Mus musculus: one gene and its partners. The protein of the gene in region 1 binds, or shares a complex with, the protein of each later gene. Links are inferred from orthologs where the notes say so. Each region holds a gene or a part of one and is shown on either strand. Other genes may lie near its edges.

Evidence for each region.
Region 2: Snrnp200 (region 1) and Ppil2 share a complex: the UniProt entries of both Homo sapiens proteins name them as parts of the minor spliceosome. The link is inferred for Mus musculus from reciprocal best matches to the Homo sapiens genes SNRNP200 and PPIL2.
Region 3: Snrnp200 (region 1) and Lsm4 share a complex: the UniProt entries of both Homo sapiens proteins name them as parts of the U4/U6-U5 tri-snRNP complex. The link is inferred for Mus musculus from reciprocal best matches to the Homo sapiens genes SNRNP200 and LSM4.

Annotation. Positions count from the first base shown.
Region 1 is NC_000068.7:127,221,132-127,226,049, forward strand, and holds part of Snrnp200 (U5 small nuclear ribonucleoprotein 200 kDa helicase), read left to right. Parts: intron 1-613; coding exon 614-807; intron 808-999; coding exon 1,000-1,123; intron 1,124-3,449; coding exon 3,450-3,599; intron 3,600-3,951; coding exon 3,952-4,062; intron 4,063-4,874; coding exon 4,875-4,918. UniProt on the Homo sapiens protein: Catalyzes the ATP-dependent unwinding of U4/U6 RNA duplices, an essential step in the assembly of a catalytically active spliceosome. Plays a role in pre-mRNA splicing as a core component of precatalytic, catalytic and postcatalytic spliceosomal complexes.
Region 2 is NC_000082.6:17,107,725-17,113,174, forward strand, and holds the start of Ppil2 (RING-type E3 ubiquitin-protein ligase PPIL2), read right to left. Parts: upstream 3,529-5,450; 5' UTR 3,451-3,528; coding exon 3,419-3,450; intron 1,971-3,418; coding exon 1,921-1,970; intron 1-1,920. UniProt on the Homo sapiens protein: Has a ubiquitin-protein ligase activity acting as an E3 ubiquitin protein ligase or as an ubiquitin-ubiquitin ligase promoting elongation of ubiquitin chains on substrates.
Region 3 is NC_000074.6:70,671,136-70,676,758, forward strand, and holds the start of Lsm4 (U6 snRNA-associated Sm-like protein LSm4), read left to right. Parts: upstream 1-2,095; 5' UTR 2,096-2,319; coding exon 2,320-2,322; intron 2,323-5,419; coding exon 5,420-5,461; intron 5,462-5,623. UniProt on the Homo sapiens protein: Plays a role in pre-mRNA splicing as component of the U4/U6-U5 tri-snRNP complex that is involved in spliceosome assembly, and as component of the precatalytic spliceosome (spliceosome B complex).

The DNA of each region.
Region 1 (4,918 bases):
AGATGTACCAGAAAAGGGTATCATCAGATCTCAGTATGGGTGGTTGTGAGCCACCATGTGGTTGCTGAGATTTGAACTCAGTACCTTTGGAAGAGCAGACAGTGGTCTTAACTGCTGAGCCATCTTGACAGCCCAGAACTGAGTATTTTTTAACAAGGGTTACATGGCTCACTAGCCTACAGTATTGCGTGTGTGGTACCAGATGTTCAGCCCTTGAAGAAAAGGTTGCTCACCTCTTTTTTAGAGCCTTGCTCTCTGACAGCCGCTCCTACGGGTGCTGAGTCCCTGGCCTGCCCACAGTATCCGCAGTTCTCCCAGTGCTTACTGTATCTCAGAAGCACTGCTGTTGGCGGTGTAAACTTACTGTGCGTAAAGCCCACAAGGGAAGGCTTCTTTGCTCTAACCTGGTCAGAACCGTCATGTATTTGTAAGGAGATTTGTGGTATCATCAAAGGACTCACTCACAAGTGTTAAACAGTCCACACTCAGTGTATATTTCTACTAAAAGCTGTCTTTGTTCTTTAGGATTCCTTGGCTTAAGGGTCCCTCTCTTGTCTTTACTCGGCATGTTAAGACTGTATACTTGTACAGTTTGCATCTTTCTGTTCTTTAGGATGAGATCCATCTTCTACATGATGACAGAGGTCCTGTCTTAGAAGCTTTGGTGGCCAGGGCCATCCGAAACATTGAGATGACCCAAGAAGATGTCCGACTCATTGGTCTCAGTGCTACCCTCCCCAACTATGAAGATGTGGCCACCTTTCTGCGAGTCGACCCTGCTAAGGGCCTCTTCTACTTTGATAACAGGTATAAAAAGAAACTGGAAACTTGTTACCCAGGCAGTCTTCCTGTTCCCTACTCTTCTCTAAGGAGCATACTATTGAGTTTTAGGGTTCCTGTGTGTATTTTAGAAAGCATTGTTTCTAGGTCAATGGAAAGTAACTTCTCTCACAGTGTTCTCTGCCAGAAATCTCATTTGTATAACTGTTGAACTTCTAGCTTCCGCCCCGTGCCTCTGGAACAAACATATGTGGGCATCACAGAGAAAAAAGCTATCAAACGTTTCCAGATCATGAATGAAATAGTCTATGAGAAAATCATGGAACATGCTGGAAAAAATCAGGTTTGTGGATGGTTCTTGAACCTTTTCCTTTTTTTTTTTTGGTTTTTCGAGACAGGGTTTCTCTGTGTAGCCCTGGCTGTCCTGGAACTCACTCTCTCACTCTGTAGACCAGGCTGGCCTTGAACTCAGAAATCCACCTGCCTCTGCCTCTCAAGTGCTGGGATTAAAGGTGTGCTCCACCACGCCCAGCTCCTTTTCCATTTTTAACTTAAACTAATAGACAAGGTAATAGCATGACTCACCAGTGATCAGAAATAATATGAGTTACTATATTACTACAGCTGCTTTAAAAGATGGTCAGGGTCTGGAGAGATGGCTCAGTGGTTAAGAGCACTGACTGCTCTTCCAAAGGTCCTGAGTTCAAATCCCAGCAAACCACATGGTGGCTCATAACCATCCATAATGAGATCTGATGCCCTCTTGTGGTGTGTCTGAAGACAGCTACAGTGTACTTACATATAGTAAATAAATAAATAAATAAATAAACAAACCTTAAAAAAAAGAAGAAGAAGAAAATGGTCAGGAGCTAGGAGAGTCAGCACATGCCTCTAATACCATAGCTTAGGTTGCTGAGGCAGGAGGACCTCAAGCCAGCTGGAGGCCAGTTTGGATTATACAATGGTACCCCCCTACCCCTATTCCCCTCATGGTCCCACTCCCCTCCCCCCCAAAAAAAATCCAAAAAATGACTGGGGACTTGGAATGGAACTCAGTGGTAGAACATATACATAGCATGTTGACCCCGGTTCATTGCATTTTCCATCACTGCATAAATGGGAGATGGAATACTGTCAACAATCACTCATAAACTGGCCAGTTTATGGGGTAGATAGATGGCTCAGTGGTTAAGAGCATTGTCTACTCACAAAGGACAATTGAAGCTCAGACCAGTCTATCAACTCTAGATCTGACCTCTCCTAGCCTCTGTGAACATCAGGCATATATATGTTGTATGGACATATGCGCATATAAAACATTCATTTCATAAAGTAAATAAAAATTAACAATAACTAAATAAACTTATAACTTAGAAGAATTGGATCATTTCCTGAAAACAACTATCACTATAGCCTAGATGAAAGATAATTTGAATAGTCCTGTGATCGTAAATGATAACTTCATAGTTGATACTATCCTCCCCCAAATTGGTGGAACTAGAAAAACCAGTCTGTCTATAAGATAGCAAAACTGTAGCTGAAAATTATTAGAACCTAGTGAAATCAGGCCAGTGAGATGGCTCTGCAGGTAACGGCGCTTGCCCCCAAGACTGGTGACCTGAGTTTGATCCCCAGAACATAATTGGTGATGGAGAGAGTTGATCACTACTCTGACACACAAAATAATTTTTTTAAGATTTATTTATTATATGTAAGTAAACTGTAGCTGTCTTCAGACACACCAGAAGAGGGCATCTGATCTCATTACAGATGGTTGTGAGCCACCATGTGGTTACTGGGATTTGAACTCAGGACCTCCAGAAGAGCAGTCAATGCTCTTAACCAGAAAAAGAAATGCATAGCTTCTTACTGCCTGCCTTAGTTAATACTGCTAACTAGTAGTAGTGTGCCACTACTGCCCGACATATAATTTCATTCGTTCGTTTGTTCACTTATTTATTTGTTTTCTTTCTCTTTTTTTTTGAATGTTACTTTGATAACAGTTTTTAGTTAGCAGTATTAAATAAGGTAGGCAGTAAGAAGCTATGCATTTTTTTTTTCTGATAAAAAGCACAGGAGTTTATATGACAGGGTAGGACTTCAGGACACTAGATCTCAGGAGGACTGTTTCATATAATGTGGAACTAGTTTCAAACTATTTAAATATTTTTATAAATAATGTAATAGTTTTGGTATTATTTTGAAAATACACCTTTATTTAGCTTAGACTTGCTAAGGCTCTGACCATATTCTTGATTGAGGTCTTTGAATCTCAATACACTGTGTATTTAGATTTATTGTTCAATGTAGAATTCTAGGGTTAGTTTAGTTTCTTAGCTGTGAGACTGTGCCACTATCCTTGGTACATTCCTTCCCCTGTGTGTCCTGGGCTGGGCTTAAACTCTGTGTAGCCCTACTCATAGCCTGGAATTTAGCTGTGACCTTGAGTGCAGAATTAGAGCTGGAGTTACCATGCCCAGCTTCCCTTTGGTACTGTCAGCCCTGTTAGACTTCTTTCCAAACTAGCATGTATTTTTGCCATAGACACTTTTCTAACCCATCGCTTCTGTTTCTAGTGGAGCAGCTTCTGCTTCCTGTAGCTGGTGCCCTGGTGCTCTGAGAGCAGCTGCTGAAGGTGCACCTTTTAGCTCTTGCATGATTCTTCTTAGGTGCTCGTGTTTGTCCATTCTCGAAAAGAAACTGGGAAGACAGCAAGGGCAATCCGTGACATGTGTCTGGAGAAGGACACTTTGGGTCTGTTTCTTCGCGAGGGTTCTGCCTCCACTGAAGTCCTTCGTACAGAAGCAGAGCAGTGCAAGGTAAGAAGGGACCATCTGCTTCTCTGGTGACTGGTTCCATATTGGGTAGAGTCCTTTGGGACCATATGTACTGAGTGCTTCTGTTCAGGCAGGTTAAAAGTCATTTTCTTGGGGCTAGGGAAATGACTCAGCAGATAAAGGTGCCTGTCGCCAATCCTAATGGCCTGAGTTCAATCTCTGGGACTCACATAGTAGAAGAAGAGAACTGACTTTCATACACATGCCACACACAGGCATATATACAAACCTAAGAATATAAGTGTGTTAAAAGGGACTGTGTGGTTATGGGACTTCCTTTTGGCCTTGGAGGAGTCCTAGCAGGAGGCCGGCCTCACTCTGTTTCTGTTCACAGAACTTGGAGCTGAAGGATCTTTTGCCCTATGGCTTTGCTATTCATCATGCAGGCATGACTAGAGTTGACCGAACACTTGTAGAAGATCTTTTTGCTGACAAGCATATTCAGGTGAGGAGGGGCAAACCTAGTAGAAACAGACTTGTCTGTAGCTCTGCCCTGAGAGACTTGTCTGTAGCTCTGCCCTGAGAGACTTGTCTGTAGCTCTGCCCTGAGTGTTATCTCTAACCTTTTGTTAAAAAGAGAGTCATTTATATGTATTTGTGTGTGTGTGTGTGTGTGTGTGTGTGTGTGTGTGTGTGTGTGTGTGAGACTTGAACGAGTTTATGTGCACCACATGCATGCAGATGCTCTCAGAGGCCAGAGGAGGGCACCAGATCCCTTGGAACTGAAGTTACATATTCTTGTGAGCATATGTGGGTTCTGGGACCTGAAGCCTAGTCCTCTGCAAAAGTAGTACATGTTCCAGCCACTGAGCCGGTCTCCGTCTCTAAACATTTTGAGATCTGGACCAGCTAGCCTAGCCCAGGCTGGAAGGTTGTGATAGTTATGCTCACTCTCCCCACACTTCATACACTGCATAAGAGAGGATGGATGCTTCATAGAACTCTACAGTGTAATTCACAGTGTCAGGACCACATTCTTTCCCTCTTCCAGGTTGGTAGATTTTGAATGTTTTATAACTGAGTTGATAAATACAAGTTTAAACTTCTGACCTATGTCTCTGGAACCTTGGTATGTTAATTCTCAAATATGTAAGAGACTGAAGAAATGCTTTCCTTTTTGCTCCAGTGTCACATTGAGTACTGAAATATACATCCACTCCTGCCTCCGGTTAAGCTCAGGCACCAGACAAGCGAAGGATATGGCCCTGCTATGGTGGGGTCTGTTGTCCTTATTATCCTTCTTTACAAACTCTGCAGGTTTTAGTTTCCACCGCAACTCTGGCGTGGGGTGTAAATCTTCC
Region 2 (5,450 bases), on another chromosome or scaffold:
CAGCCTGGTATACAATGCAAGTTCTAGGACAGCCAGGGCTACACAGAGAAACTCTATCTTGGAGAAAAAAGAAAAAAAAAATCTTCTGGTAGGGTTCAGAAAGATGGCTAGGCAGTTAAGAATATATTCTGCTCTTATACAAGACTTGAGCTCAGTTCTTAACACTCACATGGTGGTTCACAACTGCCTGTAACTCACCAGGGAACCTAACACCTCTGGCCTCTAAGGGCAGGTATCTATTCATGCATGCACGCACACTCACACACCTCAAAATAATAGGTGCTAGAAAAATGGCTCAGTGGCTCAGTGTACTTCACTGGAGGTAGAGACGGAAGCAACTTACTGACAAGCCAGTCTAGCCCATCATTGAGCTCTAGGTTTAGTGACAGACTCTTGTCTCAACACAAGATGAGCTGAGAAGTGAAACACACCTTTAATCCTAGCAGTTGGAGGCAGAGGCAGGTAAATTTCTATGAGTTCAAGACCAGCTCAATCTACATAGTGAGTTCCAGGGCAGCCAAGGCCACATGGAGATCCTGTTTTGAAAACAAACAAGGAGCTGGAGAAATAGCTCAGAGGTTAAGAGCACTTGATGCTATTGCAGAAGACCAGAGCTTCGTTCCCAGCACCCACTCTCCTCTGGACTCCAGGGTACCCACATTCATGTGCATGTACTCACGTAGACAAATACACACACACACATACATACATACATACATATAAGTCTTAAAAAATAGTATGAAAACAGATTTTTTAAGATGGATTATCAATGAGGACAACACACAATGACCTCTAGTCTACAAACACATGCAGGGCCTTTTTGTTGTTGTTTGCTTTTTTTTTTTTTTTTTTTTTTTTAGATTTATTTATTATATGTAAGTACACTATAGCTGTCTTCAGACACTCCAGAAGAGGGAGTCAGATCTCATTATGGATGGTTGTGAGCCACCATGTGGTTGCTGGGATTTGAACTCTGGACCTTTGGAAGAGCAGTCAGGTGCTCTTACCCACTGAGCCATCTCTCCAGCCCTGTTGTTTGCTTTTTTGAGATGGTACTTCTCTGTATAGCTCTGGCTGTCCAGGAATTAAAAGCATGCACCACTATACCTGGATTCACATAGCATCTTTTGATATTATCAAATCACAAATCAATTCCAGCACTGGTGAGGCAGAGGAAGAAAGATCTTGAGTTCAAGACCAGCTTGAGCTACATAATAAGACTATCTTTAAAAGAGAAAAAAATATATATATATTTATGGGGCTGGAGATAACAGTTACGAGCACTGGCTGCTATTCCAGAGGACCCATGTTCCCAACACCCACAGGGCAGCTGACAGCCATCTGTAACTCTAGTTCCAGGGGATCTAACACCCTCACACAAACATACATGCAGGCAAAACACCAATGCACATAAAATAAATCCTTTTTTCTACAGCCTTGGCAACTTTGGATATTAACCTTCCTTTTTTCCTCCTATAAAGAATAAGGTTGCTGGGCAGTGGCAGTGCACGCCTTTAATCCCAGCACTTGGGAAGCAGAGGCAGGCGGATTCTGACTTTGAGGGCAGCCTGGTCTACAGACAGAGTGAGTTCCAGGACATCCAAGGCTACACAGAGAAATTCTGCCTCAAAAAAAAACAAAAAAAAACAAAAAAACAAAAAACAAAAAAGAAAGAAAGAAAGAAAGAAAGAAAGAAAGAAAGAAAGAAGGCTATAGCACTTCCTAAGGAAAAGGCCTGAACTTGAAAGAGTTATATTTTTAAGTATTCTCCTCTAAGATGGAAGTATACTGTACTATGTTGAGTATATGTCCTCTTTTTATCAACTATGGACCGTCTCGTTATCTACTATAATGTCAGTGTTCTGGATAGCTCTGGATCACAGGAGACAGCATTCTTCAGGACCACCAGCATCCCCTTACCTGGCTTCCTGCCACCATAGAAATGAGTGTACTCAGCACAAGTGATATACCTGAGGAAGACAGAGCATGTGTTACTGGGTCCTGCCACGGACAGGACAGAAGCTGTAAAAGTAACTTATGACAGAACGCCCACTCACTTGTCAAATCACATTAAACATCTGCATTGTGTGGCACATAAGAAGGACAAAAGATGGAGAGATAAAGAAACATCAACAGCACCTTGTCCAGAAGGAAATGAACTGGACTTATAGACTATCTGACAGGAAGAGCTAGGCACACAAAGCTCTGGGGAAGCCCTTTACAGGAATAACACTTACTGAGGCTGGAACAGGACAAGCTGAATCTGTTCCAGAAAGGAGACAGCAGAGGAAGAGTGTGATGAGGTACGTAGCAGCAGAAAAAGACACAGAAGCAAGGACAGCGGCCGAGTCAAAAATGAGTCAAAGATCAAGGAGAGTACTCTCTATTTGCCTAAGTGTGATGGGAAGCTGGTGGGTGATTTTGAGCAGGACCCAGACATGATCTAACATAGCTCCAGTTGCTCTGTGCGGTTGTTCTTCTGTTAGGATGAGAATTGTCTTCAGTCTATATATAGTAAATCAGGGACCCACTATGTAACCACTGAGCTAGGATAAGAAACGGCAGGCTTAGGTGTGAAAATTATCAAGTTCCCTTTTAGCATACTAGTTTTGAAAAAGCTGTAAGTTTTCCAAGTGGAGAACTGAGTGAAAGCTGCTGACTTAGTGCAAGAGACTCTTTGAACAGATCCACCACAGGGATGAAGGAAACACCCCCGAGGTCTGGGACAAGGGGAGGGGAAGCCCAGCAAAGAGGAATGAAATAGAGATCATTCGCAGATTAAATTACTAAGCGCCAAGCCTTTAATCCTAGCACTCGGGAGGCAGAGGCAAGGGGATTTCTGAGTTCGAGGCCAGCCTGATCTACAAAGTGAGTTCCAGGACAGCCAGGGCTACACAGAGAAACCCTATCTTGAAAAACAAAAACAAAAACAAAAACAAACAAAAAAAACTACTAAGCGCATGTAAGATCTCACTAAAGGCTACTTTTGGAAAGGGAAGAAGCCCAAGGACTGAAAAGCTGGATACTAGATCTGGCAATACAGAAGTCAAAGATATCCTTGCAAGCAGCTAGGGGCGGGGAGCATCTGAAGAGACAACAGAAAACAGAAAGTACAGCAGCAGCAAATGGGAGGGGAACATGGAGCACGACCCGCCTATCTTCAACTTGAAGGCTGTCGCCTGTGTGTAGGCTCTCAGACTAGAGCCAGGACGAAGCGGACAACCAACTCAGGGGCAAAACTCGTTCGCAGAAAGGCTAGGGGTAGGGAAATCCCGGAAGTTAGTTAGTCCGGCGGTAGAACGCCCTGGCCCGCGTAGGCTGCACTGAGGGACGAGACCGCGCCTGTGAGAGCTGAGGCTTTCAGATGATAGCCTTCAGCACGGCGACGAGCTGAGACGAGAGACGCGACCCAACTTACATCTTGTCCTTCTGGTGCTGTCGCTTCCCCATGGTGGCAACAAACCGAAGAGACCACAGCAGACACTGACTATGGCGCCTCCGCTTTCTCAACTACTTCCGGAGATCGACGCACTGGATCCCGGAAGTTGGAAGAAAGCATTCTGGGAATTGTGGTTTCCAGGTGTCCAGGTGCTGGGTGCAGGCACCGTGCTAGGCTGAAGCTTGCTAACTTTGAGTAGAATCCACTTTTCCTGTCTCCCACCATACTGCGTTGCCTCCCCCAAGCCCTCAAAAACTTTTCTATGCACTGTCTGGCTACTTGTTCAGTCCATGCTATGCTAGGCAGACTCACTCAGACTCACCTCCTTTGTATCTAAAGATCTTCAACCTTTTTCACCTTCTCTAAAGCCATGTCCATGTGTATACTCAACTCTTCTCTCGTTCGGTCCCCACGCCCTTCAGGCCCATCAGCTGGCAGATGACCAAGCCCTCTCTGCTCCTTCTGTGGCCAGATCTTTGGTCTGGGTCTCATGTGCCGGGAGAATGGGTCCCAAGTCTCCTTTTTTTTTTTTTTTTTTGGTATTTCGAAACAGGGTTTCTCTGTGTAGCCCTGGCTGTCCTGGAACTCACTCTGTAGACCAGGCTGGCCTCGAACTCAGAAATCCGCCTGCCTCTGCCTCCCGAGTGCTGGGACTAGAGGAGTGTGCCACCATGCCCGGCCCCAAGTTTCCTTTTTAAAATTGTGTGTGTGGTTAAATAGTGGCCATGCCACAAGTGTAGAGCTCAGAGGACAAGTGAGGAGTTGGTTCTCTTTGCCAGACTTGCACAGCTCTTATTTGTTAAGGCATCTCTCCACCCTAAGCTGGGTTTTTGTTTGTTTTTGTTTTTTGAGACAGGGTTTCTCTGTGTAGCCCTGGCTGTCCTGGTGCTCACTCTATAGATCAGGCTGGCCTGGAACTCAGAAATCCACTGCCTCTGCCTCCCAAGTGCTGGGATTAAAGGTGTGTGCCACCACCGCCTGGCTGATCAAAGAATTCTTAATTTCCTTGTTCCAAATCTCCACTTTGATGCTAAATGGTATGTTCCATACCCTAACCCTAACCTCCTGATAAGATCTTCAACCAAATAATTTTAAGATGTCTTGTCAAATTCCTACATAAACATAAAACATTAGAAACCCCCTAGCCTTGCAGTTTGGGGGATATTAAAAAAAAAAATTCTCCTTTGAGACTATGCTCTCAAATCCTACTTTAGGGAGATAACCCTGTCTAACTGAAAATGCAACCAAAAAATCTGGGTCACTGGTCTGATTCTCATTTGGCAGGATTAACAAGGACCACCATCCACCCAGTTAGCCAAAGGCAGTCATCCTGTCAGCTTCTTACTTCATAACTTCTGCCTTCCAAATAAATCTTACCTCAAAAGATCTTTTAGCCCAGTATGGTGGTGTACACTTGGGAGGCAGAAGCAAGCAGATCTCTATGAGTCTGAGGCCAGCCTGGTCTACAGTGAGTAGAGAAACCATGTCTCAAAAGCAAATCAAAACTAAACAAAACTACCAGTACTTGGGAGGCAGAGGCTGGTAAGTTCTGTAAGTTCAAGTCCTCCTAGTCTACATATTGAGTTACAGGTCAACCAAGAATATACAGTGAGACCAAAACAAAACAAAACAAAAAAACACTTTCTTGGCCACCCCACTCACCTCTCTCATAGTTTATCATAATTTATAATTATATAGTAATTTTGCTTATGTTCTGATTTTTATTATCTATAGTCCCAAGTGAGGTATGATCAACCATGACTCAATATGTATATCCACTAATGTCCAGTAATGATTGACATCTTACATGGAGAAAGATTCTAAGGCCAGCATATGAGGTGACAATGAGAATCACAGTTTTGAAACTCGGGCAAGTAACAAGCTGTAAACTGACTGACCCACTCATTTCTCCTCTGGGTAGAAACACCTATCAAACTAGGCCTGTGTTTGGAGATTACATGCAGGAACAATATAGTGCACTTGCAACTCAAGGAAAGTGAAGCCCTAAGGG
Region 3 (5,623 bases), on another chromosome or scaffold:
AAGGCTCCTCTGATGGTGGCTGGAGTGCAGGAAGCCAGGTCGGAGGGATGTTTCTCCACTGTGGCAATGGCTTTATTTAATGTAGGGAGCTTTGACCCTTCACCTAGGTGACTTAAGTGACTTGTCACTGAGCAGTAGCACCTCAGGTTTCAAGGCTCCCGCCCCCGCCCCCACTCTGTGTGCAGAAGCATGGGCTAGCCAAGCCTCCCTTGAGGGCTGACGGCAACTTTGCTGGAACTCACCCAGTCTTGCTGCAGGGGTCCAAGTTCCCCGTCATGGGCTGCTTCTTCCCTAGGTATCTCAGATCCTCACATCACAAACCCTTTGGTCCCCATCTCAGAGCTGGATTCTGGGGTGACAGATACTCTCTAATCTTAGACATGAGGTCAGCAGACCCATTGACATATTTCTCTTTTCCTTATTAGTGACAGAGTAAAGTAGACCCGGCTGTTGTTGAACTGTCCATGAAGTGGAGGATGGTCTTGAACCTGTGCTTCTCCAGCAGTGCCTCCACAGTGCTGAGATAGTGCCCATTCTGCTCAGGCGCTGCTCCTCAGCACTTACTGCTTTACTTTATTGTTAGCGGTGGGGGTGGGGGCGGGAGCTCAGGGCTTCTATCCCTCCCGCTGAGCTGCAGTCTTAGTGCGGGAGTCTCACTCCATCACTTAGAAGAGCCCTGGGGAGTGTGCCAAGGGAGTCTCCCGGGTCAGAGGATCCCAACAAGTGAACTCATCGCTAACATTCTGTACCAGGGCCTTTCAGCAGCTTGGTCAAACAGCTGTCCTGCTTGGGACAGCTCAGGGTGGAGCTCTGATTCCATAACCAGTAGCCAAAGAAAATAAAAATAAATAGAAGGGCTAGGAGATGGCTCCATGGGTAAAAATGCTTCCTGATGAGAAGGCTAGGCTGACTTCATGACAAGCTTCAAACTGGCAGTTAAGGAGAGGTGGCCTAAATCTGTTTCCAAGAACTGGCCAATTCCAGACAAGTCCAGGCCTCAGAAGCTGCCCCACCACCTGGCCTGAGGCAAGGACAATGGGTAAGCAACAGTTTCCAGACCTCCCCAGTAAGTTTCCAGCCCCCGCAGCCCTGCCATGGAACGTCCATAGAGATGGACCTCACAGATTAACATAGAGGTCACCTGCCCCGGAATTTCCTAATGTGCTTTAAATCAAACCTCCAAGTTAACATGGGTGTCTATTTTGGTAATTCGAGACTCCAGCATGCTCAACTTCTGCATAATAAGACACTCTTTGAGTTTTCATACTATTTGAGTCCGGAATATCATTCTTTGGCACCCCTACTGGGCAAGCATGAGAACCTGAATTTGTAGCTCAAGAAGACACATTAAACCATGGTGGTGCACACCTGCAATCCCAGCACTCACTAGGATCTCTGGAAGGTCGATACCAGCCTGGTCTACATTGTGTGTTCAAGGCCAGCTAGGGATGTACAGAGAAACACTATGTTCCTCCCAAAATGATAATGATTTTTTTTAAAGCAAGGATTAAAGCTTGATGGCCCACAGTGGCCATCCAGCAGTGGAGAAGCCGAGTCGGGGTCTAATGCAAGTTCATGATCGGCTAGCTTCAGCTGCCACAGAAGCCCATCTCAAAACAGGAAAATCCCAGAGATTTGTTTTCACTTCCTGTCGCCAGGGAACGCCAGACCTGCCGTTCGTGTTCAAAGATTCTATTTGAGTTGGTAAAGACAAAGAGATCCATAAGGGCAAGAATGGAAGGCTAGAGCTGGGCAGTGGTGGCGCACGCCTTTAATCCCAGCACTTGGTGGGCAGAGGCAGGCGGATTTCTGAGTTCGAGGCCAGCCTGGTCTAGAGTGAGTTCCAGGAACAGCCAGAGCTACACAGAGAAGCAATGTCTCGAAAACAAAACAAAACAAAACAAAGAATGAAAGGCTAGGAGCGCAAAATAGGCACCGCGCGACTCGCATGCATTAGCCAGCTTCGCCCACAGTGTGGCGCCGAATTAGGCGCCGAACCAGATCCAGGAGAGCACCTCTGCGCAGGCGCCCTTTCCCAACATACACCCCGTAGTGGGCGTAACTTGTGCTGCGGCCTTTTGCGTCGTTCTAGTGTCGCACTTTACGGCTACCTCTCAATCCCACCGTAGAAATACGGTGAGGCCGTCCGTCTTGTTCCGTAGGTACCGCCCTAGCCCGTCCCGATTGGATAGATGTCCGTTGAGCTGCTCGCTGATTGGTCATAGTTTCTGCCAGTCTTTTTCAGTCTGGGGCGCGCGGTGGGCCGCCGGTGGGAGCGCGTGTGTCTGTGCCGCGGCGGAAGTTATCGCTGCAGGGAAGATGGTGAGGGCCGCGAGGCGGAGGGGCGCGCGCAGGGTCTTCGGGCTGCTGAGAGATGGGGGAAACTGAGGCCGGAGTGACCGGTGTCCCTCCAGGGCCCCAGACGGTCACCGTTGGGGATTTATCTCTTGATGGACACGGTTTTTGCGACCGGAAGAGGGACTATGATCGTTTCCGGGGCTTGTCACCGTCATTGATAGGAAAGCTGCGTTTCCGGGAAATGGGCGGGCTTAATGGCTCACGTGGGCTTCGTTGCCCTCTTGATGCTTATCTGGTGTCTGACCTCAGCTGCCCACGCCTTTGGCTGGAAATCCAGCTCAGAGAGCGGGTTGATTCTCTCCCTGGGACACACAGCATGTCTTGCTCAGGAAGAAAGGATTTTTTTTTTCTCCTAGTTTAGGCTCAGGCCTCCTCAGTTTGGGGACTCTTAGACCTGGCATAAACAAGTAAAGGAGGCCAGGTTTCCCCCTGCTCTGTCGAGGGGCGCGTTGGCCTAAGTGAGGAGAGCCACATATTCCCATCTCCCCAGTTCTTGATGGTAGGATATTTGGTTTGTTTTTTGGTTAGGCTTTCTGATCTGAACTGACATAATCCAGGCTAACCTCAAACTCCTGATCCTCTTGCTTCAGTCACTGGAGTATGGAAAGGACACGTGTATACTCCACATTTGAGTCAGGATGTGAGGCAGGGTCTCATATAGCCCAGGCTGCCTTTGAACTCCATTTGTATACATGCATCACTGTGAACTCCTGACCCTGCCTTTACTCCAGAATGACCCTGGGTTTTGTGGTGCAGGAACTCTAGGCCTAACACATGCTAGGTAAGCACTCCCCACTGGGTGTACCCTGAGCCTTCCTGAAGGGATGGCCAGGTGCGTCCAGGACTGGACACCCACCTCATGCAGGTGCGCACAGACACTCCCATATCTCTGCGGTCAGGCTGGTACAGGAGTGTCCCAGCTGAACATTCCTGAACTCAGAGCCCTAGACTTGGTTCTTTAGCTATCTCATCTACACACTGGATCCCAGAGAGTCTGGATGATGGCTGAGAAGGAATTTCCCTTCCTGGAACTGGCTCCTCTAATGGGAGGTGCTGGGACTGGATTCCAGAACGGGTGGCTATAACACCTGCAGCTGCTCTGTGTAAAGCTATGTCTCCTCCACTCAAAAGCCTGTGACTATCCCAGCTCCAGCCTCCCTGTCTGCCCTGGCCCATTTCACTCTGAGCTTTTTCTTCCTTCATTTTGGGGAGACATTCCTAATTACTTCTTTCATTCCTCTCTCCCACTGCACACACAGTAGGGGAGTGGGGGGTTGTGGTGGCCTGTCCCTACACCACACTTTTCTTACCTGTGGCACTGGACAGGATGCACCTGTGCTGGGTGTCCCCACCCCTGCGTGTTCAGCAAGTGTTTACTGCTCCTCCCTGCTGCAGCAGAGCCCACGCCCACACTGACCTTGTGTCTAGCCAGGGAGACTGATGCTAATCACCCATAATTAGAGAGCGGCTTCAGCTGCTGAGCTGGAAACAGGCTGGCAGCCTAGGGTGGCCATTAGGGTCCTGACCACAGGAGGGGACATGCTCAGCAGGATTGGGCAGAGAGTCTAGGGAAGGGCACCCTGGGTGGTGGCTGGGGCCCTGGCAGGAGGAACGAAAGTTGAGCAGTAAGGCTGGACCTTGCCATCGCTGCCTCCAGGCTGTGCTGGGCCATAGCAGTTCCGGAAGAGCTTTGTGTGCCTCTATTCTTGTTTAGCAATGTTTGCCCTTGAGCCCTTGCTGTGCCTTGTATTTGGGAGTTTGACTATTCTATTCCTTTATTGAAACAGGATCTCATGTAGCCCAGGTTAGCCTCACACTGTAGCCAAGGATAACCATGGCTCCAACTACCTGGAGCTTAGCCATAGGATGCTATACTGTGGCTCTTTTCTGCTGTTTATTTGAGGATCAGGGTGGACACCATTGTCACTGATCACCAAGGCCACCCACCCACCCACCAGCCATTTTCACAAAAGTCATCCTCTGCCTCCTACCCTTCCAGGAAGCCTCTGCAGGAAGTGGGCTAGAGCTTCACTTCCCTGCCACTAACTCCTCCCCGCCCCTCAGCTCTTCTTGGGAAGGGCCTTGTACTGTAGGCTCCCCCAGTCCTCTCATGACCCAAAGTCCCCATGCTGGGCATGATGGCCCTGAGGATCTGGGGCTCTTGTTGTTTGTTTCTTCTGTTTTTAAAATGATTTATTTTTATTTCATGTGTTTTGCCTGCATGCATGTGTCTGTGAGTGTGTTGGATCCCCCTGGAACAGGAGTTATAGATGTGTGAGCTACCATGTGGGTGCTGGGAATTGAACCCAGGTCATCCAGAAGAGCAGCCTGTGCTCTCACCTGCTGAGCCATGTCTCCAGCCCCTCGTGTAGTTGTTTGTTTGTTTCACTGTGTAACCCAGTTGGCCTGGAACTTATAGATAATTCACCTGCCTCTGCCTCTCAGTGCAGGGATTGAATGTGTGCACTGCATGCTTGGCTGTAATTTGATTTTTGTGTATTTTGAAGACAGGTCTAATGTAGTCCAGGCTGATCTCAGACTGTAGCTGAAAATAATCTAAAATTCCTTATCCCCCTGCCTCAGCCTCCCTGGCACTGGGATGACGGGTGTAGCACAACACACCTGGCTTTATGTTGGTCTTTATGATGCTGGCTCTGGAAGGCAAAGTGTCACTAGCCTTGCTGTCACCTTGACCTCAGCCCTGGGGCTCAGGCAACCCAAGTCACCTGTTCTGGAAGCACATGGACGGGATGTGAAGCAGGCTGGTGTGCAGTCCTGTGCATTTAGAAGGCTGTGGCCAGCCTGGGCTTATGACAAGATTCTGCCTCAGAAAAGCTACCTCCAGACAGAGGACTGTGCCCCGCTTCTGTGGTTCCAGGTGACAGAAATTGTGGAGAAATGACCAAAATGGTCCGGGAGGTCCAGGTGGCTCACATCTGTAGAATGGGATGATGTGAGGTTACCTGTGACCTGAAGACAGGCGAGTGCATTGGGGGTAGCCATGCCCATGTGGTCGTCCCTGAATTGAGGACTACACCTCACACTGACTTTTGCCTTCCAGCTTCCCTTGTCGCTGCTGAAGACAGCGCAGAATCACCCCATGGTAAGCACTCTGGGCCACCTCCCTTCATGTGCCCACAGCTCAGTCTTTTGCAGTTCATGATTGAAGGCCTGGCAAGATGTCTCAGTGGGTAAAGGTGCTTGCTGCCAAGCCGAAGGACCTGAGTTCAATCCCCAGGACCCATGTGATGATGGAGGGGTTCAT